Arabidopsis thaliana: one gene and its partners. The protein of the gene in region 3 interacts with the protein of the main gene of each other region in a biochemical or structural test. Each region holds a gene or a part of one and is shown on either strand. Other genes may lie near its edges.

The links. Proteins that work in one complex are often made in the same cells at the same time.
Region 1: the proteins of TOC64-III (region 3) and HSP81-2 form a complex in vitro, tested with the Arabidopsis thaliana proteins (2 studies listed by BioGRID).
Region 2: the proteins of TOC64-III (region 3) and HSP90.1 form a complex in vitro, tested with the Arabidopsis thaliana proteins (one study listed by BioGRID).

What each region holds. Positions count from the first base shown.
Region 1 is NC_003076.8:22,683,491-22,690,735, reverse strand, and holds HSP81-2 (heat shock protein 81-2), read right to left. Parts: upstream 3,905-7,245; 5' UTR 3,814-3,904; coding exon 3,604-3,813; intron 3,386-3,603; coding exon 3,244-3,385; intron 3,138-3,243; coding exon 1,303-3,137; 3' UTR 1,265-1,302; downstream 1-1,264. Other genes in the region: AT5G56020 (Got1/Sft2-like vescicle transport protein family), read right to left, coding at 4,530-4,640, 5,117-5,221, 5,330-5,588, 5,933-6,150; HSP81-3 (heat shock protein 81-3), read right to left, coding at 6,825-7,245. UniProt on the Arabidopsis thaliana protein: Molecular chaperone. Involved in RPM1-mediated resistance. Component of the RPM1/RAR1/SGT1 complex. May stabilize RPM1 and protect it from SGT1-mediated degradation. Associates with RAR1 which may function as co-chaperone. Possesses ATPase activity.
Region 2 is NC_003076.8:21,349,502-21,356,411, forward strand, and holds HSP90.1 (heat shock-like protein), read left to right. Parts: upstream 1-3,055; coding exon 3,056-3,178; intron 3,179-3,493; coding exon 3,494-3,635; intron 3,636-3,720; coding exon 3,721-4,001; intron 4,002-4,089; coding exon 4,090-5,646; downstream 5,647-6,910. Other genes in the region: AT5G52620 (F-box associated ubiquitination effector family protein), read right to left, coding at 1-180; MEF1 (mitochondrial RNAediting factor 1), read left to right, coding at 874-2,640; AT5G52650 (RNA binding Plectin/S10 domain-containing protein), read right to left, coding at 6,280-6,354, 6,632-6,764, 6,859-6,910. UniProt on the Arabidopsis thaliana protein: Functions as a holding molecular chaperone (holdase) which stabilizes unfolding protein intermediates and rapidly releases them in an active form once stress has abated.
Region 3 is NC_003074.8:6,144,782-6,153,307, reverse strand, and holds TOC64-III (translocon at the outer membrane of chloroplasts 64-III), read right to left. Parts: upstream 5,403-8,526; 5' UTR 5,279-5,402; coding exon 5,076-5,278; intron 4,526-5,075; coding exon 4,373-4,525; intron 4,240-4,372; coding exon 4,115-4,239; intron 3,762-4,114; coding exon 3,636-3,761; intron 3,449-3,635; coding exon 3,266-3,448; intron 3,183-3,265; coding exon 3,038-3,182; intron 2,959-3,037; coding exon 2,790-2,958; intron 2,686-2,789; coding exon 2,551-2,685; intron 2,408-2,550; coding exon 2,207-2,407; intron 2,106-2,206; coding exon 1,978-2,105; intron 1,892-1,977; coding exon 1,840-1,891; coding exon of another isoform or gene 1,777-1,839; exon of another isoform or gene 1,739-1,776; coding exon 1,669-1,738; intron 1,594-1,668; coding exon 1,514-1,593; 3' UTR 1,226-1,513; downstream 1-1,225. Other genes in the region: C2 (Calcium-dependent lipid-binding (CaLB domain) family protein), read right to left, coding at 193-483, 565-660, 745-891; AT3G17950 (uncharacterized protein), read right to left, coding at 6,139-6,705, 6,929-6,997; AT3G17940 (Galactose mutarotase-like superfamily protein), read left to right, coding at 8,064-8,181, 8,275-8,324. UniProt on the Arabidopsis thaliana protein: Chaperone receptor mediating Hsp90-dependent protein targeting to chloroplasts. Bi-functional preprotein receptor acting on both sides of the membrane. Not essential for an efficient import of pre-proteins into plastids.

The DNA.
Region 1 (7,245 bases), on a different chromosome or scaffold from region 3:
TGGGCCTTTGCTGTTTGTGGATCATAATATAAAATGGATGATATTACGTGTGATGAAAGGTGTAAATTAAAGGGTCAAATATTCTTCCGTATTTCCAGGACTCGGGTTTCTCGCTCACATTAGTTAAACTCTAATTAAAGTCTAAAAATAAAATAAAGTACATCAATAATTGTTTACATCAAATGCCTCAAATTAACTTTATATGAATTCTGAATGAGTATATTGCTAGTCTAAAATTTTCCCAAATATGAATACATGCTTGGGTATATATGATGCTTTAGAAAGTTCAGTTTAGCTAACTGTAAATTAGGTGAGTATAATCGTTAAATATTAGCTGAAATCATGGTAATCACTCAGTTTACTCCTATATACAAAATACTGAACAATAATAATTTGGTAAGAAAATAGGAAGGTGCCAAAAAAAAAAGAAAAAAAAAAGAGAGGAAAATACGACTATTGAAAAGAAATTACATAAGTTAATCAATAGGCTCCGTTGTCTTAACCTAACATAGCCTTTGCTTTTAAGTTTTAACTAAAGACTAAAGAGTTTCACTTGCACTAACGCCAAGTTCGTGGTATTATATAATAAGTCTCCACTAACGGTCAAATTTTGAGAGCAAAAGCAGTGTGGGGTTTCCCTTAATTAATTTTGATTACATTAATAAATTAAGGCTTTTTTTTTTTGGGACAAAATAATAAATTTAGGCTTAATCTTGCATTATTGGGTGATCTTTTGTATCAAAAAAGCCAGTCTCTAATATTGACGAGTCTTTTTGACTGATGGGTCGATTTTAAGGCCCAAAGTATTCAACAACGGACATTTTGGGCCCATCTAAAAATTTGATTGACCATTTGTTTGCACTTTGCAGCAAGAGATTGGCAATTGGCAGCGTAGTTTTTTTTTTTTTTAGTGAAAACATTTCAATTTAACTGTGGCAACTTTTCTAATTCGGATGCAATATAATTCACAGCAAGATATGTATGCCAGAAGATATGATCTCTGTGTTATTCTATTTTCTTATAATTTGTTATTCTAAATTCTAATTAGGAAGATATAATCATAACTAGGTTACTACTAATACCCTGACAAAATTCAGCTTGGATATGTAAGAATCAGTCTCTTGAGCATAATAGAATCTTTGTCATAAAACCGAGTTCAGAGAAATATCTTCACAACAATAAAACCATAGAAAAAATTCGTGAAGATAATCACCAAAATAACATAAGTTTTAACGAAAAGAAAAAAAGAAAACCATAGTCTTATAACACCGCTAATAATTTAGTCGACTTTTGTGTGATAAATTAGTCGACTTCCTCCATCTTGCTACCTTCGGCATCAGCATCGTCTTCAAGGGGAGGCATCTCAGCATCGGCTTCAACAGCATCATCGTCATCAATGCTCAGTCCAAGCTTCAGCATCCTGTGGATCCTGCTTCCGAAAGTGTTTGGCTCATCAAGGCTGAAACCAGAAGTGAGAAGAGCGGTCTCAAAGAGGAGAAGCACAAGGTCCTTCACAGACTTGTCGTTCTTGTCTGCGTCAGCTCGCTTTCTCAACTCATCCATGATGGAGTTCTCTGGATTAATCTCCATTGTCTTCTTACTCGACATGTAACCAGCCATGCTGCTGTCTCTCAAGGCTTGAGCTTTCATGATCCTCTCCATGTTTGCAGTCCAGCCGTATTCGCCGGTTACAAGACAGCACGGTGAGTCCACAACACGGTCAGAAACAATAACCTTCTCGACCTTGTCACCCAAAACGTCTTTGATCACTTTGCAGAGTCCTTCAAACTTCTCCTTGAGCTCTTCTTTCTTCTTCTTTTCATCTTCGGTCTCATCCAGTTTCAGACCTTCCTTGGTTGCAGAAACAAGTTTCTTTCCCTCGAATTCCTTAAGCTGACCAATAGCGTACTCATCAATCGCATCAACCATGTAGAGAACTTCAATACCTTTCTTCTTGAGCTTCTCAAGGAATGGAGAGTTCTCAACAGCCTTCTTGCTCTCACCAGTGATGTAGAAGATATCGTTCTGACCTTCCTTCATCCTTGTCACGTAGTCCTTGAGACTAGTCAATTCATCACCGCTCTTGGTTGAGTGGTAACGGAGCAACTCAGCAATCTTGGTTCTGTTTTGGGAGTCCTCATGGATACCGAGCTTCAGGTTCTTAGAGAAAGCCTCGTAGAACTTGTTGTAGTCTTCCTTGTTCTCAGCAATCTCAAAGAAGAGCTCAAGGCACTTCTTCACAAGGTTCTTGCGGATGACCTTGAGGATCTTGTTCTGCTGCAATGTCTCTCTCGAGATGTTGAGAGGAAGATCTTCAGAGTCGACAATACCTTTCACAAATCCGAGGTACTCAGGGATGATGTCTTCACAGTTGTCCATGATGAAGACACGACGGACATAGAGCTTGATGTTGTTGGGCTTCTTCTTAGTGTCAAAGAGATCAAAAGGAGCTCTCTTGGGAACAAAGAGGATAGCTTTGAACTCAAGCTGTCCTTCAACAGAGAAATGCTTCACAGCCAAATGCTCCTCCCAATCATTGCTGAGACTCTTGTAGAAAGCAGCGTACTCCTCCTTGTTGATCTCCTCTGGCTTCCTCATCCAGATAGGCTTCTGCTTGTTCACCAAATCCCACTCATGAGAAACCTCCTTAATCTTCTTCTTTTTCTTCTCCTCCTTTTCTTTCTCCTCATCAACTTCCTCAACCTTGCCTTCCTCATCCTTCTTCTCTTCCTCCTCTTCATCATCAGAGATCTCCTTCTCAATGGTCTTCTCAATCCAGAGAGAGATTGGGTAGCTGATGAACTCAGAGTGCTTCTTCACCAAATCCTTAAGCCTTCGCTCCTCAAGGTACTCCAACTGGTCTTCCTTGAGGTAAAGAACCATCTTTGTTCCTCTACCAAGAGTCTCCCCAGAGGTGTCTCTGGTCACAGTGAAAGATCCCCCGGCCTGAGACTCCCACACGTACTGCTCATCGTCATTGTGCTTGGTAGTAACAACAACCTTGTCAGCAACCAAGTAAGCAGAGTAGAAACCAACACCAAACTGACCAATCATGCTAACATCAGCTCCAGCAGCCAGTGCTTCCATGAATTCCTTGGTTCCAGATCTTGCAATTGTTCCAAGGTTGTTGACCAAATCTAATAGAAGAAGCACGAATTAGCCAACAAAACAAACACAGATGCAAGACTAACAAACAACAACAAAATCGAAACAAATTGATTTAGGATGAAATCAATTACGTACCAGCCTTGGTCATGCCAATACCACTATCAATAATGGTCAAGGTGTTGTTAGTCTTGTCGGGAATGATGTGAATGAAGAGCTCAGGCTGACCATCGAGCTTGCTCTTGTCCGTCAAGGACTCGAATCTAATCTTGTCCAAAGCCTGTTTTCACCAGAATAGAATCACAATCGTAAGCAAACAATACACATAATATGTATGCAAATCAACTATAAGCAATCGAAAACTTGGTAATCTAACAAGAAACTACTTAAATCCTTGGTATCAACACTAAACCTAAACAATAGATTTGTACACAAAAAGCTTCGCAACTTCAGTAAGTAACCAAAATTCTCCCAACGGAAAGAACACTAAACCCTAACCAAACCTAAATCTACAGATCCATCCGCCAAATCAATCAAACGAGATACACAAGTATACAATAAGGTAGAGAGAGATAGAGATCGTACATCAGAAGAGTTACTGATGAGTTCACGGAGGAAGATCTCCTTGTTAGAGTAAAAGGTATTGATGATGAGGGAAAGCAACTGGTTGATCTCAGCTTGGAAAGCAAAGGTTTCAGCGTCCGCCATTGTCGTAGATCGGAAAAAATCGAAGAACTAGGGTTTAAGAATGAAATTGAGAGAACAAAATTATCTTGAGAGCAGAGAGAAGTACTGATGCGGGATTTAGGAGAAGGATGTTATTATATATAGAGTGGTGTGGGAACCTCCATAAGGGTTTCTTTTCCTTTTTTTTTCTTTCTTCTAGATCGTTCTTTTTCCTTTATTTTGTTTGAACTAACTTGCAAGTTTTTCTAGATCCTTCTCCAAGCAGTGATGTTTTTGACTGATGGGGGCCATTTTAAGGCCCAACGTATCCAATAACAGACATTTTGGGCCCAACTAAAAAAGATTTGATTGACCACTTGTCTGCAATTTGCAGTAAGAGATGTATGCCACATTGCCAGTGTAGTAAACTCAGTGAAAACATACGTGTAATAACTTTCTTAATTCTGATGTAATAATTCACAGTAAGACATTGAAGCTAACGACTTACCCTAGATTAGAGAATGTATCCACCAAGCAACTCTTCAAGTTCCATACCTCATCCAGTGGCTAGTGATTTGAAGTTTTGAACCAATTTAGCAGAAAGTATCAATATAGGAAATTTATAACAAAACTGTCTTTGAGCCATTGGACCAACATATTTTACCAGATTTGTCATTTAACCACTGTTGAAGATCTTTCATCTTTCTTTATACACGAGAGAATCAAGTTATTTTCTTTGCATAGGTCAAAGCGAAAGCTCATCTCCCAAACATTCGGAAGACAGAGGAGGTAAGAGTAGAACTGAGGAACTTCATTCCCGATGATCCACCAGGGAAATATGATATACAGTAGTACGCCAGTGCAATAACCTATGGATTCACAGAGAACAGAGACCAGGTTTTTTATGAGATTACTATACTTACAGAATGTGCAGATACGTGACTAATCTTTAAACCGACATGAAGGATATGATTTAGTGAGTTCTTAAAGTATATATTCCATATCGATAACGGGTGAGTAATAATATATCAAAGCTGTTTCTGTCGCAAGTAAGTGCATTTGCAAAAACAAGCCAAGAGACCAACCAAAGATATGGCGTTCAAGGCTTCTTCATAATTCATACTAACCCAACTTGTATTTTAAAACAGCAATAAGAAAGTCTACATGTTTTTTACTAAACACATTATGTTTCGACGAGGCAAGAGCTTACTAGATGAAACATGCAGGGTAAAAAAGAACTTCATAGGTAAGATTTGTGAAATGGGGAAGAGGAAAATTTTAACATATGAAAAACAGAGGATATAAACACCAACAAGAGTCGGGAAGGAAGATGAAATTTAAGTACCTGTAATGCAGAGAAAATCACAGAGAGAATGTAGCTATGGAGCACCATCGAGACATATATGGTGCCAACCATGGTGGCAATGAAACCTAAAGTTAGTGGAAGCCTCTGGAGAAGCCAGCAAACAAGAAATTAAAATTCCAAAGAGAAAAATGTAAACGAAATACAGCAGATATAAGAAGCTGCACAACACAAGGTTTTGTTATTAGTTATTACCTCTGCCGATGACATGTGAGCGAGTTGATTTTGCGGGCCACGAAGAGCGAAGAAAGATCCGATGATAAATCCACATCCAAGGGTAAAACAAATTGCAAACTTCTGTGGCATAAGCACCATGACTGGAAGAAACATGGTGAAGGCAATGAAGATGAAGAATACACCACTTGCTAGAAGTAAACCGAAATACATCAAAGCTTTTCCTGAAGGCATACTACTTGTTGCAGACTGCAGGTTATCTCTAACTCCTTTCGAAACACTGTTAACAATCCAGATTTGAGTACAACAAAATTCAAAATCAAAAAGTTAGTAACACTTCAAGAAAAAGATATGCTTAAGACTCTTAATCAATTCTAAGTCATTGAGAGAAGACACTAATCAAAATCATTCACTAACAATAGCTTCAAACCCTGAGAATTTGTAAATCTGATCAACGAATCTGGCAAAGCTTAAACTATATGGTTAATCACAATTTCTCAGATTCCAGATTTAATTTACACCAATCCAATCCTCAATAGCAGGCGAAAACGCCTAATTTCTCAGATACGGTCACGATCAATCGTTAAACCCCTAAAGATTAAGAGAAAGAGATGGATGGATTACACATTAAAGGTGCCGGAAACAGTGTCGTTGGCAGATCTAACGGCGGATTCGATATCGAAGCCTAAAGTTCCGGTGTCTTCTTCAAAATCTCTCGATGCTGCGTAAGAATTCCAATCAGCTAGCAGAGACGTTCCTCCTGTTTGCAGCGGTTGCTGCTGCTGATCTCCGCTGCTACTAGTGCCGCTCATCGGAAACCATCCTTTGGCCATTTTCTCCATTTCGTTGGGAATTTTTGGAGCTGAGAAATCAAAATATAGCTGAATACCGACGATCAGTGGTTTACGTCGGAGCTAAGGAAATCGGCAGACGTCAAATCGAGCGTTGATGAAGATTCTGTCAAGGGACCGTCGTCTTAAACGGCAGTGTTATTTTGCGTTGCACTACTCATATTCTAATCGTAAAAGTTATTTAAAAAAATAATAATAACCTTTAAAACTGACCAAAAAATTGTTACACAAATTATCCTTTTTAATCAAAGTAGTAACAACATTTGTGCAGAAAATTAACGCTAAGTCAAACAGTAACAACAGTATTATGTCGAACAATAAATTATTTATTATTGTAAAGAATATGTAAGCTGTGTTGTCTGAGATGCTTAACAATATGATTTGGAGCTGCTTCATGTATTTTATTAGCCATATTAGTCATACTAATAACTTAGTTATAGGCTACATAACCAAAATAAGCTTGGATTTGCAAGATTGTGCATAAGAGAACCTTTGTCATCAAACCGAATTCAGAGAAAAAATCTTCACGAAAACAAGCGATAGAAGAAATAAACTCCAGAAAATAGTTCCAAAATATTAGTTCAAACGAAAACATAAAAAAAAAAGATAAAAAGATAACCAATGTCTCAACACCCCTAATGATTAAGTCGACTGTGTGTGATAATTTAGTCAACTTCCTCCATCTTGCTACCTTCAGCATCGGCATCATCTTCAAGTGGAGGCATGTCAGCATCGGCTTCAACAACATCATCGTCATCAATGCTCAATCCAAGCTTCAACATCCTGTGAATCCTGCTCCCGAAAGTGTTGGGCTCATCGAGGCTGAAACCAGAAGTGAGAAGAGCGGTCTCAAAGAGAAGAAGTACAAGGTCCTTCACAGACTTGTCGTTCTTGTCTGCATCAGCTCTCTTTCTCAGCTCATCCATGATGGAGTTCTCTGGGTTAATCTCCATTGTCTTCTTGCTCGACATGTAGCCACCCATGCTGCTGTCTCTCAAGGCTTGAGCTTTCATGATCCTCTCCATGTTTGCAGTCCAGCCATACTCGCCTGTTACAAGACAGCAGGGTGAGTCCACAACACGGTCA
Region 2 (6,910 bases), on a different chromosome or scaffold from region 3:
ACGTGGACGACTCAAGGGCCTAGTAATTAGGAACAACTCAATGAAATCTTGACCTCTTAGTATAGATCCACAGAACTTGGATGCGAGACCAAACTTAGCGATTGAATTAGTAGACAATCTCGAGAGTATATCGAGAATGATATCAATCGGGATTGGATCTGATTTTCCTTCTCTTTCCATCGTACGTTTTTCAAAGATCGTGTATTTTGGATTTTGGTTCCAGTTCCAGTTCCAGTTCCAGTTCCAGACTTAACGTAGACGACAACCTAGGGTTCAAAGGCAATTCATTCATACCTAATGGGCCGAATGAATTCATGGGCCATGTTAGAGGCAACTAAAAGGCTGGACGAAACTATCTATTTTAGCCTTTTAGGGGAGGTAACGTATTAATGTCCCCAACTATCTTTTATAGGATGCATAGTTGGTTTTAACTAACATTAAAGGTGTTACTAACAATGGGCAATGATGGTAAAATTATAACGCAGTGGACACAATATAACTTAGCCATACCAATGCAAAGAATCTTGAAACTAGTATTAAACTCAGTCACGTATATGCTCTCCAGTCTATGCTTCGAAGAGCTTTCTTCTAATCCCATACGAAGAAGCTCTCTATGTTTTTCTAATTTAATCAGGCTTAGACAACTAGTTTCAAAGTCATAATTCTTGGTGTCTGAGTTGTCTTCCCTTTCCATCGAGTTTTTTAAAGATCGTGTCTTTTGGTTTCCAGTTCCAGACTACGTAGGCGACACTTCAGGGTTTCAAAGGCAATGGCACTAAAAGTCACTAATGGGCCTAACGACTTAATGGGCCTTGTGAAACGTTACCCAATAAGAGACCTGGTTTCTCACTGAGTTCAACCATCTTCTTCCCCATGGCTCTGAATTCTTCAGCTTTCTTCGTTCCATGTCACAATTACAATCAAATCTGTGATCTTCTTCTTTCTTCAGCTCGAACCAGATCAACTATTAAAGGACTTCAGCTTCATGGCTATGTCGTTAAATCAGGCCTTTCTCTTATCCCTCTCGTCGCTAACAACCTCATTAATTTCTACTCCAAATCACAGCTTCCGTTTGATTCTCGTCGAGCTTTTGAAGATAGCCCACAAAAAAGTTCGACGACTTGGAGTTCAATCATCTCTTGTTTTGCCCAGAACGAGCTTCCATGGATGTCACTCGAGTTTCTTAAAAAAATGATGGCGGGAAACCTTAGACCTGATGATCATGTTCTTCCATCAGCTACAAAGTCGTGTGCGATTTTGAGTCGTTGTGATATTGGTAGATCAGTTCATTGTCTATCGATGAAGACTGGGTATGATGCTGATGTGTTTGTGGGGAGTTCTTTGGTTGATATGTATGCGAAATGTGGAGAAATTGTTTATGCGAGGAAGATGTTCGACGAAATGCCTCAGAGAAATGTTGTTACTTGGAGTGGGATGATGTATGGGTATGCACAAATGGGTGAAAATGAGGAAGCTTTGTGGTTGTTTAAAGAAGCTTTGTTTGAGAATCTCGCTGTTAATGATTACTCGTTTTCGAGTGTTATTAGTGTTTGTGCAAATTCGACTCTACTTGAGTTAGGTAGACAGATTCATGGATTGAGTATTAAGTCTAGCTTTGATTCTTCTAGCTTTGTGGGAAGTTCTTTAGTCTCGTTGTATTCAAAGTGTGGTGTTCCTGAAGGAGCTTATCAAGTTTTTAACGAGGTGCCTGTGAAGAATCTCGGGATTTGGAACGCTATGCTCAAGGCGTATGCGCAACATTCACATACTCAAAAGGTTATTGAATTGTTCAAAAGGATGAAGCTTTCTGGAATGAAACCAAATTTCATAACTTTTTTGAATGTGCTCAATGCTTGTAGTCACGCGGGTCTAGTTGATGAAGGGAGATACTACTTTGATCAGATGAAAGAATCGAGGATTGAGCCGACGGATAAGCATTACGCTTCCTTGGTGGATATGTTAGGACGAGCTGGTAGATTACAAGAAGCACTTGAAGTTATCACTAATATGCCGATTGATCCCACGGAATCTGTATGGGGAGCTTTATTAACGAGTTGTACAGTCCACAAGAACACAGAGCTTGCAGCATTTGCAGCAGACAAGGTCTTCGAATTAGGACCAGTGAGTTCCGGTATGCACATTTCGTTATCCAATGCTTATGCAGCCGATGGTAGATTCGAAGACGCAGCTAAAGCTAGAAAATTGCTTCGAGACCGAGGGGAAAAGAAGGAAACAGGGCTAAGTTGGGTTGAAGAAAGGAACAAGGTTCATACATTTGCAGCTGGAGAAAGACGTCATGAGAAAAGCAAGGAGATATATGAGAAGCTGGCTGAGTTAGGGGAAGAGATGGAGAAAGCGGGTTACATTGCAGACACAAGCTATGTTCTGAGAGAAGTGGATGGTGACGAGAAGAATCAAACCATAAGGTATCATAGTGAGAGATTAGCTATTGCTTTTGGACTGATCACGTTTCCAGCTGATAGACCGATCCGAGTAATGAAGAATCTGCGTGTTTGCGGTGATTGCCATAACGCGATCAAGTTCATGTCCGTATGTACGAGACGAGTGATCATTGTGAGAGATAATAATCGGTTTCATCGGTTTGAAGATGGCAAGTGTTCTTGTAATGACTATTGGTGAAGAAGACAAATGAGAGTTGGTTTATATTTAACCATAATTTCATTCAGTTCACACTGAACCGGCGAAATTTCTTTGCCAGACCTATTCGGAATTGAAACAAGTGGAGTCTCGAAACGAAAAGAACTTTCTGGAATTCGTTTGCTCACAAAGCTAAAAACGGTTGATTTCATCGAAATACGGCGTCGTTTTCAAAGAACAATCCAGAAATCACTGGTTTTCCTTTATTTCAAAAGAAGAGACTAGAACTTTATTTCTCCTCTATAAAATCACTTTGTTTTTTCCTCTCTTCTTCATAAATCAACAAAACAATCACAAATCTCTCGAAACGCTCTCGAAGTTCCAAATTTTCTCTTAGCATTCTCTTTCGTTTCTCGTTTGCGTTGAATCAAAGTTCGTTGCGATGGCGGATGTTCAGATGGCTGATGCAGAGACTTTTGCTTTCCAAGCTGAGATTAACCAGCTTCTTAGCTTGATCATCAACACGTTCTACAGCAACAAAGAAATCTTCCTCCGTGAGCTCATCAGTAACTCTTCTGATGTAAGTTTCCCTTCAAATCTCTCTCTGCTCGGTGTGACTCGTCCGCTTCCTATTTTCTTGCATGTTGTTTGTTCTTTAATTCCTGGATTCGTTGATAGCGTTGGATTCGTAGGTTTAGCGTTGTGATTGCTTATTCAAATAAATCGTGATTTGGCTTGTGCATCACGTTAAGTTTAGAATTCTTAGCTTGTGCTCGATCTTCATGTGTTGTAGTTACATATATAGAACGGTTCTTGCTTCGATGTAGTCTTTGATTTACCCTAGAGGATTGAGGAAAGCTTCTGATTATCTTTGTTTATATGAATGGTTTTGTAGGCTCTTGACAAGATCCGATTTGAGAGCTTAACGGATAAGAGCAAGCTCGATGGACAGCCTGAACTCTTCATTAGATTGGTTCCTGACAAGTCTAATAAGACGCTCTCAATTATTGACAGTGGTATTGGCATGACCAAAGCAGGTAACGAATCAATGCCTAATAATCTCTCGTTGGTGAGATGTTTTAGTGTATGTGCTGTGGTTATGACTCTCTATTATTTTTTCAGATTTGGTGAACAACTTGGGAACCATTGCGAGGTCTGGAACAAAAGAGTTTATGGAGGCGCTTCAAGCTGGAGCTGATGTAAGCATGATAGGACAATTTGGTGTTGGTTTCTACTCTGCTTATCTTGTTGCAGAGAAGGTTGTTGTCACTACAAAGCACAATGATGATGAACAATACGTTTGGGAGTCTCAAGCTGGTGGTTCCTTCACTGTCACTAGGGATGTGGATGGGGAACCACTTGGTAGAGGAACTAAGATCACCCTCTTCCTTAAGGACGATCAGGTAAGGAATCGTAGCTTTGAGTGTTTTGGGGATTGTTTCTTTTCTTTTGGTGTTTTCTGTGTTCTTACAAGTGTGTTTATTCATGCAGCTTGAATACTTGGAGGAGAGGAGACTCAAAGACTTGGTGAAGAAGCACTCTGAGTTCATCAGTTACCCTATCTACCTTTGGACCGAGAAAACCACCGAGAAGGAGATCAGTGACGATGAGGATGAAGATGAACCAAAGAAAGAAAACGAAGGTGAGGTTGAAGAAGTTGATGAGGAGAAGGAGAAAGATGGTAAAAAGAAGAAGAAAATCAAGGAAGTCTCTCACGAGTGGGAACTCATCAACAAGCAGAAACCGATCTGGTTGAGGAAGCCAGAAGAGATCACTAAGGAAGAGTATGCTGCTTTCTACAAGAGCTTGACCAATGACTGGGAAGATCACTTAGCCGTGAAACACTTCTCAGTGGAGGGTCAGCTAGAATTCAAGGCCATTCTCTTTGTACCAAAGAGAGCTCCGTTTGATCTCTTTGACACGAGGAAGAAGTTGAACAACATCAAGCTTTATGTCAGGAGGGTGTTCATTATGGACAACTGTGAAGAGCTAATCCCAGAGTACCTCAGCTTTGTGAAAGGTGTTGTTGACTCTGATGACTTGCCACTCAACATCTCTCGTGAGACGCTTCAACAGAACAAGATCCTTAAGGTGATCAGGAAGAATCTAGTGAAGAAGTGCATTGAGATGTTCAACGAGATTGCTGAGAACAAAGAGGACTACACCAAATTCTATGAGGCTTTCTCCAAGAATCTCAAATTGGGTATCCATGAAGACAGTCAGAACAGGGGAAAGATTGCTGATCTTCTACGGTACCACTCCACAAAGAGTGGTGATGAAATGACGAGCTTCAAAGATTACGTCACAAGGATGAAGGAAGGTCAAAAGGACATTTTCTACATCACTGGTGAAAGCAAAAAGGCGGTGGAGAATTCTCCCTTCTTGGAGAGGCTGAAGAAGAGAGGATACGAGGTACTTTACATGGTGGATGCGATTGACGAATACGCTGTTGGACAATTGAAGGAGTATGACGGTAAGAAACTTGTTTCTGCGACTAAAGAAGGCCTCAAACTTGAAGATGAGACCGAAGAAGAGAAGAAAAAGAGGGAAGAGAAGAAGAAGTCCTTCGAGAATCTGTGCAAGACGATTAAGGAAATTCTCGGGGACAAGGTTGAGAAGGTTGTGGTCTCAGACAGGATTGTGGACTCTCCCTGCTGTCTAGTAACTGGTGAATATGGATGGACTGCAAATATGGAGAGGATTATGAAGGCACAGGCGTTGAGAGATAGCAGCATGAGTGGTTACATGTCGAGCAAGAAAACAATGGAGATCAACCCCGACAACGGTATAATGGAGGAGCTCAGGAAGAGAGCTGAAGCAGACAAGAATGACAAGTCTGTTAAAGATCTTGTCATGTTGCTGTATGAGACAGCTTTGTTGACGTCTGGATTCAGTCTTGATGAACCGAACACTTTTGCTGCTAGGATTCACAGGATGTTGAAGTTGGGTCTGAGTATTGATGAGGATGAGAACGTTGAGGAAGATGGTGATATGCCTGAGTTGGAGGAGGACGCTGCTGAAGAGAGCAAGATGGAGGAAGTCGACTAAGAGATGAAGAAATTGCTCTTATGGTTCTGAAAACTTCTAATATGTCGAGTTGTTCTGAGTTTTAAGATTTTCCAAAATGTCTTTGTCTTTTTTTTTATATCTTTAGAGTTACTTGAACATTGTGACTACTTCTAGGGTTGGGTTTGTGTCAGGTCTGTTATATCGTGTGGTGGGTCTGTCTAATACTGATTCAAGTTTTTGTTATTCAGCTAAGGAACTTTTCTTGTTTCTGAACAAATCTTTTGGTTCCCTAGAGTAAAACTTGACTTCCAAAAGATAGACTTCCTAAGATCACTGGAATAGATAGGAGTGACAACTTGACGTGAAAGGTAGCTTGGCTATAGTAATTTTAGATCTGACAAAACGAGATCAAGAAGTTAATAATTTTCACAACACCAATTTGTTATCGCTTAAAGGTTGATTGATTTGTTCAATAGGGGGAATCATATTCTCGCATGCTCGAAAAGGGGAGAGAAGATGGAATGAACATAACTTTAAATCGGATGTTTGATTCAACAACAAAACTAAACTCAGATAGAGATTATGAAGGATTCCGGAATCTGAATTACAAAAGCAAAATTTAAAGCTGAAAACTCCTCCATGGTCTTACTGTCACCTAAAGACATTTCTTTTTCAAGGCAAACCTGAACCAGATGGTGCAGCTGCGCTGTAGCCACCAGCACCACGGCCAAAACCACGGCCACTTCCCTGATAAACAAGAAAGGATGTTAGAACAATGGCAACCAAACAAAGAGAAGGCGGGTAAATCAAATCACAAGGCAATTATATAACTATAGACTTTGAAACACTTCACAGCTAAAGTAAAAGATTTATGTTCCTTGTAACTAAAGTGATAAAGAGAGACTAAATATGTTCATGGTTTCTCAGGTTCAGGAGCTCTATGATAAAGACTTCAAGAGTAGCACATTATATGACGTTGGTGAGATAGAGAAGTAAATAGAAGGTATGGTCAGTGAGAATTTACTTGGAAAGATGGCTGGTAATCTGCGGGAGCTCCACCCTTTTCACCTCCAAACTCACCACCAGCTCGAGGACCTGCACGGTACCCATCACGGTCACCAAACCTGGGACGGTCTCCTCCTTCATGGCGAGGTCCTCTGAAATACAAAGAAACCCAAACCATGTCAAACAAATTAAAAAAAAAAAAAGTTTTTGCCAGACATGAAATGGGTTAAGCAAAGAGTTAATCACCTTGAGCGATCACCAGGTGGGCCACCAAATGGACGACCACCAGGCTTAGCTG
Region 3 (8,526 bases):
TCGATCACCATATGGGAACAAAACTTCCCTCAACGTTCTTAATCCTTATATTTCCATGGATTAATACGTGTTTCTAGTTCACTATATCCTTCAAGATTGAAATTACTTGTTTTTTTCCATGCTGTTACTTGGTTTAGTTCAATTTGAAAGAAAACAACTCAAAGTAACGGTAAATAAGAAAAGAAAAAAGATTCATAGACCCTTGGAGCCAGGGAGGTCAATCCATTGAAGCTGAGCCTCGACCTCTCCGCATTCCACATGTCGCAATCTGAGAACGAGATCCTGGACGAGCTTGCCGTCGACCCAGGTGACACGTGACTCCTCGGCTAGACAGTTACGACGACTTGGCTTAACCGTGGTCACAATGGTTCCACTAGGAAGTCCATCGAGTTGCATCCTCAAAGCCTCAATATAGGGCTTTATCTCGAACTCAGCATCGCCCATCTTGTCGTCTTTGCTAAACATGTCGTGATCATACACCGTCTACATATAACATTATAGTTTTATCAATATAAACATCTTATGATAAGGAAATTAATGTATGTTTTAGTAAGTAAAAAGTACCAAGAGGACGGTAAGATTGGAGTCTGTGACGGAGAGAGTCAAATCTTCATTCCATTCTGGATTAACATCTTTGTTAATGACACGAGTCTTCAATTTCTGTAAGATTTAATATGATAATTTGAGAATGTTTTTGATGTAATGAAATTGCATGTGAAGTTGTAAAATGATGAATGGATTAACCTGTTTGCCCATCTTGACGACGACGTAAGGATCGCTGCTACTGATGTCACGGACGGCTAAATTGACGCCACGTTTGATACGGATTCTAAGGAGGCCCAAGAGATCGTCCATTAGTGAGCTTGTCCTCGCCGGACACGCCGTTGTCATTTCCTTTATTAATGTTCCTGATTATTTCTTCCTTACTCACTTTCTACAACCCTTTTTTTTTGTTAACGCTGCAACCAACACACGTTTAATTCTCGGGGAAAAGCACAACCGAGATAAAGAAAAAAGGTTAAACGAACCAACTCACCCGTGAAGATAATTCAAAGGTCTCTTTAGTTTCTTTCGTCAGATTTCGTTCCGTTCAAACTATCATCGCTAAATATTAGGGCAGGTCTCTTTGGTTTCTACTCCTCTTTTTTTCTGTTTATTTTTTTTGAGTCGTGGGGAGGAGATAACGTGCGAGAAAAGAAAATGATAAAGACAAGATAGTTAAAGACATGACCTTATTTTTGACGCTACGCTGACTAGAAGTCGACCGGGAATGCCGGTATCCGGTGTTTAAGATTAACATTACTTTTTGATATCCAATTTTAGAGAACGTTTAAAATAAACATCGGATATTATAATTTTCCATTCTCGGCGGACTTGCAAAAGGTATCTCTAGATAAAATGCCTAAATATCAGACGCAAAAGACAAGTGTTGACAAAATTGGCCTATACTCTTGGACAAATTCTAAGGAACAAACGTTTTCTCAATGATCGGTGAGGTACGGACAAAAGAAGCTCACTGGAATTTTCTCAGTCTCTCTGCTGAGAGAGACGCTCGTTTGTTGTTTGGTTCCAGCACAAGTGCGTATCTGAAATCTGCAGAGTTTATGTTATATTCTGCCAGATTCTACAAGGCGAAAAAACAATCAGATTATGTTCTTTAAAGCTTACCTTCTATGGCTCCCTTGCAATCGCCTAACATTTCTCTTGCGGTTCCTCTTCGTAAATAGGCTTTAACATTCTGAAAGAAATCAAAAACGATCTTTGTGTTGTGTGTTCTTACAAAGTAAAGAGTGTTTTTTTTTCAAGAGAAACCTGTTTCTGTGTTTTAATGAAAGTTACCTTCTTGTCGAGGGTGATGGCTTTGGTACAGTCTTCTTCGGCTTGAAGAAAGCTGTATGTAAATGATTTGTCAAGGCAATGCCACATAGAAAGATTTGCTCACTAAAAAGTATTTTTAAGGATCTGAGAAACATTTACCCTCCAAGTTCAAGATATGCAGCAGCTCTGTTACTGTAATAGGTAGCATTGTTGTCACTTAGCTTTATAGCTTCTGAGTATAGACCAATAGCTTTCTGCCATAGTTTCTCTTTGAACGCTTGGTTACCCTGGTTTACATAATCACGGGACACAAAGATATAATAACCACATTAGATTATGGATGATAATGCCATTAAGAAAATGAGACATGCAATGGATATTAATTGACCTTCTCTTTGGCAATCTCGGCTGACTCTTCTTTGGTGATAGCCTTTTTAGAAGATTTGGGATCGGTAACAATACTCGAGTACTCTTGCAAAGATGGATACATTGTCTGCACTGTATCTAGTAAAAAGCGGTCACCACCGTGTCTTCCTATGAAAGAAACTGAAATAGGGCATTTCTCATGATGTCCGAGTGGCACAGTCACCTGAATCATCAGCACGATAAATGTAAGACACATATACTGTGGATTGGTTTTGCTAACACTGACTGGTCAGTGGTTGCTTTTAACATGTGTGAGGGGAACTTTACTAGCATGGCAGGTGAGAGAGAGAAAGAGAGAGATTTAACCTGACAACATCCTGATATGCTAGCAATGCTAAGCAGACTTGAAGCTCGGTTTTGATAGTCTTCAGATGTTATCTCCTTGCTACCAAGTTTTGGAGGAACAGCTGGCAATGTTGGAATTACCAGAATGCCATCATCCTTGATACATAACGTTACAGAGTTGGGAACCATTAGAGATTAGTCAAGAGACATATAAACTAACTCGCTCAAGTTGTGGACATGTCATGGAAGAGCAGGAATACCTTGAGAAGTGAACCAATAGCCACTCGAGTCTCGTTTCTGATAGCATTCAGGTTCTCAGTCTCTTCATTGGTTAGTTCTGGGTTCTCACACACTTGTGATAAAATCACAGGATCAATGGCTGGCTTCACTGTGTTGATCCAATCCCCATGATTTTGAAGGAACTCGTGCCTACAATGCCAATATTGTTATAGAGTGTTCAAAACTAAGATATTTTCATCCTCTGTAGGTGAATAAACAATAGGCACACCTTTGAAGGAGCTGCATCACATTCGCCAGTAGTCTCGATGTTGAGACCTTCGTGTTAGCAATGGCTTTTGTCCTAGCGAACTCTTTCAAGCTAGGAACTTTAGTTTCAAAATAGGTCTCCAAGTTCTGATGCTTTAGCAATTGTCCTAAATATAAAACAAGATAATGCTATTATAATCAGAATTTCTAACAGAGACTGGAGGATCTTCAGGGAGAGTAAAGGGCATACTTCCAAAAAGCTTTTCAGCTGATTTGGTCACCACCTGGGTAATCCGATCCACAGGGATCTTTAACAGCTGAAAACAGTCATCAGCTAGTATGATTTGCCTTGGATTCCGTTGAGTGGCAAATGGAAGTTGCAAGAGTACATGGCCAACACGACGTAGGGTGTTTGGATCGCGGGCAAACCATCCTGAAGCCAAAATCTATTGATCAGAATCAACGTAATGCTCATTTAATGGTCCTAAATATAAATTAGTCATACGAACAAAGGCATCTAAATCTTGCAATGTGATTATACAACAATTGAAACCTAGCCTATATAAGATCCAAATCATTCCACCACAAACAGTATAATTCAAAGATTTATATATCCATACCAACAGAGTCAAGACTTGAAGATACTGGTATGATTCCGGTGTTTGAAATAGCCCCATAAGAAGATTTGAATCCAAGAACGCCACAGTATCCAGCAGGCACTCTTACCCCGCCAACTGTGTCGATGCCTGCAAAGATGCAAGTAATCAAAACTATACTCTGAAAACAATTGAAACCGAACCAACCAGTAGACAGTTGAAATTTTAGATACTGATAGGAGGAGCCAATGACAGACTACCATATAAATTATAAATCCGCATGGAACTATCTTACCATATAGCCATAAGAGTCTAAATCAAGCAATTCTATTAGATGCCAAATAAGTTTCTGCAATATAAATAAATTATCAATCGTTTCAGAAATTTTCTAAGGAAGATTATTGACCATGTTTTGAAAGTTTATGCAATGTTTTGTTTCTCAAAGATACGGTTATCTCATACCAAATTGTCCAAACAAGGAAAAAAGTAGCTACTGAACTCACCTAGAGCAAAATCCACAGCATTTGTTGCTACGGCTACAGCAGCTCCACTGCAAGCGCCACCAGGAATACGAGTAGGAGCTGCAGGATTTGTAGGTGAATCGTAATGCTTGTTTTCTCCACTAATACTGAAGAAAATGAAAACAGCCAAACAAAGGAATTAATATACTAACATCCTGATAAAATAAAAATTTCAACACTGGAATCACAATCTGAATCCTGATACAGGTAACAATTTAACATTATGAAACAGAGACAAACCTAAACGCAAACTCATCAACTACAGTTTTTCCAACACAAGTGGCTCCACCTTCAACGAGAGTTGAAACCACAGGAGATGTTGACGAAGCAGCTTCATGGGTCCTGACCCAGTCTGGATGACCAAATCCAGTCACATACCCTGTAATATCGAATCTGGAAAACAAATGAAAAGGAAAGAAAGAGTAAATTAGCTTTTCAAGAACTTCAAAAGTCAAAAGATCATAGAAGAGAATGAGAGATATACACAGATTAGATAAATAGTCAATCAACATGTTGAGACAGTTATAAGTAGGACTCCATGAATAAGTCGAGGTCAAACTTGGTGACGAATCTAAAACATACAAACACCTAGCAACAGAGATCAAACAGTAGAGCCTTCCAATGAACAGATTCAACAAGTATCGATTTGAAATGAGTTTGACAAAACTAGCAGACACACACACACACACACACACATTTGAATCTACAACAAACACAATTTTCAGTGAAACGGCTCAAAATCAATCAACCATACTTTCGAAAGCTCAGAATCAGACATGTAGTGCGCCGGAGAAGATTACGAGTCGAGTCAACGCAGATTCCAACATTTGTCAAACAAAATTTTGACTCTACCCAAGGAAAAAATCATTCAGCTAAACCCCCAAATATAGATATGATAAACATATGGGAGAAGAAAGGGGGAAACAAGTCAACGGAGACTCACACGTCGGAAACGGCAAAGGTTAGACCGGTGAGAGGATGAGGAGCTTTGGGAGGAGCAGGTTGCGGAGGGGGAAGAAGCATGAGTTTATCGATAAAAGCGCCGAAATCTTCACGGACGGTCTTCTTCAGCTTTTTGGTAAGCATAAGAATCCCAGCGAGACCTAAACCTAGAAGAACCCAGAGATTCGCAGCTTGAGACGCCATCGGTGACGTTTTTGTTCTAGCTGCTGCTGCTGCTGCTTAAGATAAGAGAGATAGACCCTAAGGAGAAGGACGCCAAAGAGTTTTTGTTTAGTGTGTTGCGTTCCCTTTGAGTTTTTATTCTTTTTCCTTCTTCCTTTTTTTAACATCACTCGAGGGTTTATTTTATTTTCGTTTTGTCAACAGTTTTTTATTCACGTTGTAAAACAAAAAATTAATTTTATTAATTGTTTCTTGTTTTTACAGTTTATTTTATTAATTCAATTGGTATAAAATATGGATACACATAACAAACATTTTGCCGTATTTTCGGTTTCTTGTGTGTGTCCACTTGTTCGATAATTTTGCTTCGTCGTTAGGAATCTTCTCCTCTTATGTTATGAGGATGATTTGTGGTTAATTGTTTTACTTTCAGAAATACTAGTGGAAAATTAACCACGAATGTGGCACACTCCTGGCCAGAATCATATTGTGTTTGCCTCAAAATCTGATTTGGTCAAATTATTGTCCAAAGACTGACTAGTATAAAGACGTATTGATGAAATAATTTGAAGCAAAAACTCAATATGATAGAACAACGTTTAGCATTTTAAATAAAAACTCTAATCAAGTGAACAACTCCATTTTACACCAAAAGCTGTGCATGTGTGCCATTCTATATGCTTATCTTTTACTATTGCCATTGTAATTAATCTCCTTCATAATTCTCCTTATCAATCATTATTATTTCTCAAATAATTACTTTGACAATGACTACATTCAACATGTTATATTTTCCACAAACAATGATTCCGATTCGACGAACAAAATACAAAAATTTAAGTCTAAATACAAATAAAAGACACACACATGAACCGACGTATTCATCCTCCACCACCGCTGCATATACCGGTTAAAGATACCGGAAATCTACAAAGGGACGTGGCTACCGGCGTTCCTTCTCCGGTAACCACTTCAGCTGAAGCCGGAGGAAGAACCCTTCCGTCAGCGAACAATGCCCGCTCCCCCATCACCGGCTGCTGATCTTGGTACCGTGCCACCACCGCATCCTCTAGCTCTGCCTCGGCGGAGTTGTAAACGGCTTCATCTCCAAACCTCCGTTCCACCTCTAGATACTCCCCGAGCGATGACCGCTTTGAATCTCCTGTTCCACGGTGGATTCCATTTCCGGCGGCGTCGTCATCGTCATCTCGGCAAAACCGCCACCATTTACGGCGGCGATGCGGCTCAGGCTCAGCCGAATTTGAAGGAGGACGCTTTCTCTGGTGGTTGCGTCTTGCATTGGAGCTAGAAGCTCGTGAGATTGCGACGGAAGGTGACACGTGGCGGCGTGAAGAGGCTCTAAATGGCATCGGCATAGTTGCAGTGAAACTAAATCCCATAAGCGTTCCAAGTGTGATGCTTCTGTCATGGAAGAACGATCCTGTTGACTAAATCCTCACATCACCAATAAAAAAACCAAATCAAGTTCTAACAAGTACATATATATGTTTCTGGGCAGTTCTGAAAACATAACCTTTGGAACTTTAAACTAGTTTTCTAATTAAAGGTTGATACTTTATAGCATAAAGCTTTATGGGTAGCTTAGAAAACACATGAAGAGCTTGATCTTTAATTAGATTATCTATTAAGTATAAGATTGCAGGAACTGACCTCAGTATCAAGATCGGAGGAAGAGACGGAGGAGATAGTTGGAGAAGATGGGACATGAGGATCTTGCATCTCTGTAATCGCTGGTTTCAAAGGGTTTGAAGATGTGGGAGATTGTGTCACTGAATTAAAACGAACGACGTCGGATTAGGGAGTTTCTTGATGAGAGGAAAAGGAAAGTGTTTTTGTGGATGGATAGGTGAAGAAGAAGAAAGTGACAAATGATTTGCTTTTTGAAATGATTGTGCTTCTTTAAGCTAAAGTCCTCTTGGCCATCTGTTACACTATTTCTTTCCATGTCTCAGAGAGCTTTGATATTTTTGATAAATTTGATTTAATTGTTTCTAGTTATGGGAATAATCAAAATCCTTTACAGAGACATTTTTTTTGTAAACTTTGGGTAAAAGCTGAGACATGTTGGATGGTAGCAAATTAAAATTTACGAAAAGAGGATAAATTACAACAAAGTAAGCTTTTATAGGTACTATTGATTTTTTCATAGGATACCTGAAAAAGGGTAGAGAAACTACATCTAAATTCACGCGAATACTCTGTTACGATCATGTATAGAGTTTTTTTTTGGGGTCAAACTGAATATGTTTAGAGTATATTTTATTTATTTTCTTGTTATCTGATGATATCTTTGTCTTTCTCTTATTGTCAAAAGCATATAATCCGACTTATCAAATTTTTTATTTTATAACTGACTAATCAAATATTTTTTTACTTAAAATATTATTGATAATTAGAAAATTAGATCCAAATTCTACATTTGTTCTTTTCTCTAATCTCTATAGTTTTGGATTTTAGTTGGTAACTTTTGAATTCCTGAAAGTAAATTTGGTAACTTTTGGGTAGTAATTTGATTTTCAAAAAGTTTAGAAATGCATTAAAGTGTAAAAAACGAAAAACAAAAACCCCCAAGATAAATAGTTTTTTGTTTGGGGGGTAAAAATGATAAATAGTTTGGGATGTGGATGACGTCAACATTGATCAGTTACGAGATTACGATTTTATAACTCTTTTAACCAAAGCTAATCACTTCACCCTCTGTTTTGTTTCTCCCCAATCAAAAATCTCAATCCCAATCACTTCGCTTCTAATCTTAAAGCCTTTAATTTAGTCTTCGAGCCCTCTAATGGCGGATCAGAGCAAAAACACTCCAGAGATCTTCGAGCTCAACAATGGCACCATGCAGGTCAAGATCTCAAACTACGGCACCACCATCACCTCTTTGTCTGTTCCCGACAAGAACGGTTTGTTCTCTTCTTCCTCCTTTCAATGATGATCTCTGTTTTGTCTCCAAATCCTAATCCTCTGATTATCGTCTTTGTTTTTCTTATTTGAAGGGAAACTGGGGGATGTAGTTCTCGGATTCGACTCGGTGGATCCATATGTGGTAATTTCTCTCGAATTCACCTAATCCTTGAACTGATCTCGACATAGATTCAATCAATCTGATCGAAACTCTAATCACTGCCTCTGGATCTCATGAATAGAGTCTGAATCATAATTTAAGAAATGTATATGGTCATTCATGTACCTTGTTGAATGACTTTGTGATGAACTATCAAAATAAGATGGACTTTGTAACAATGTTA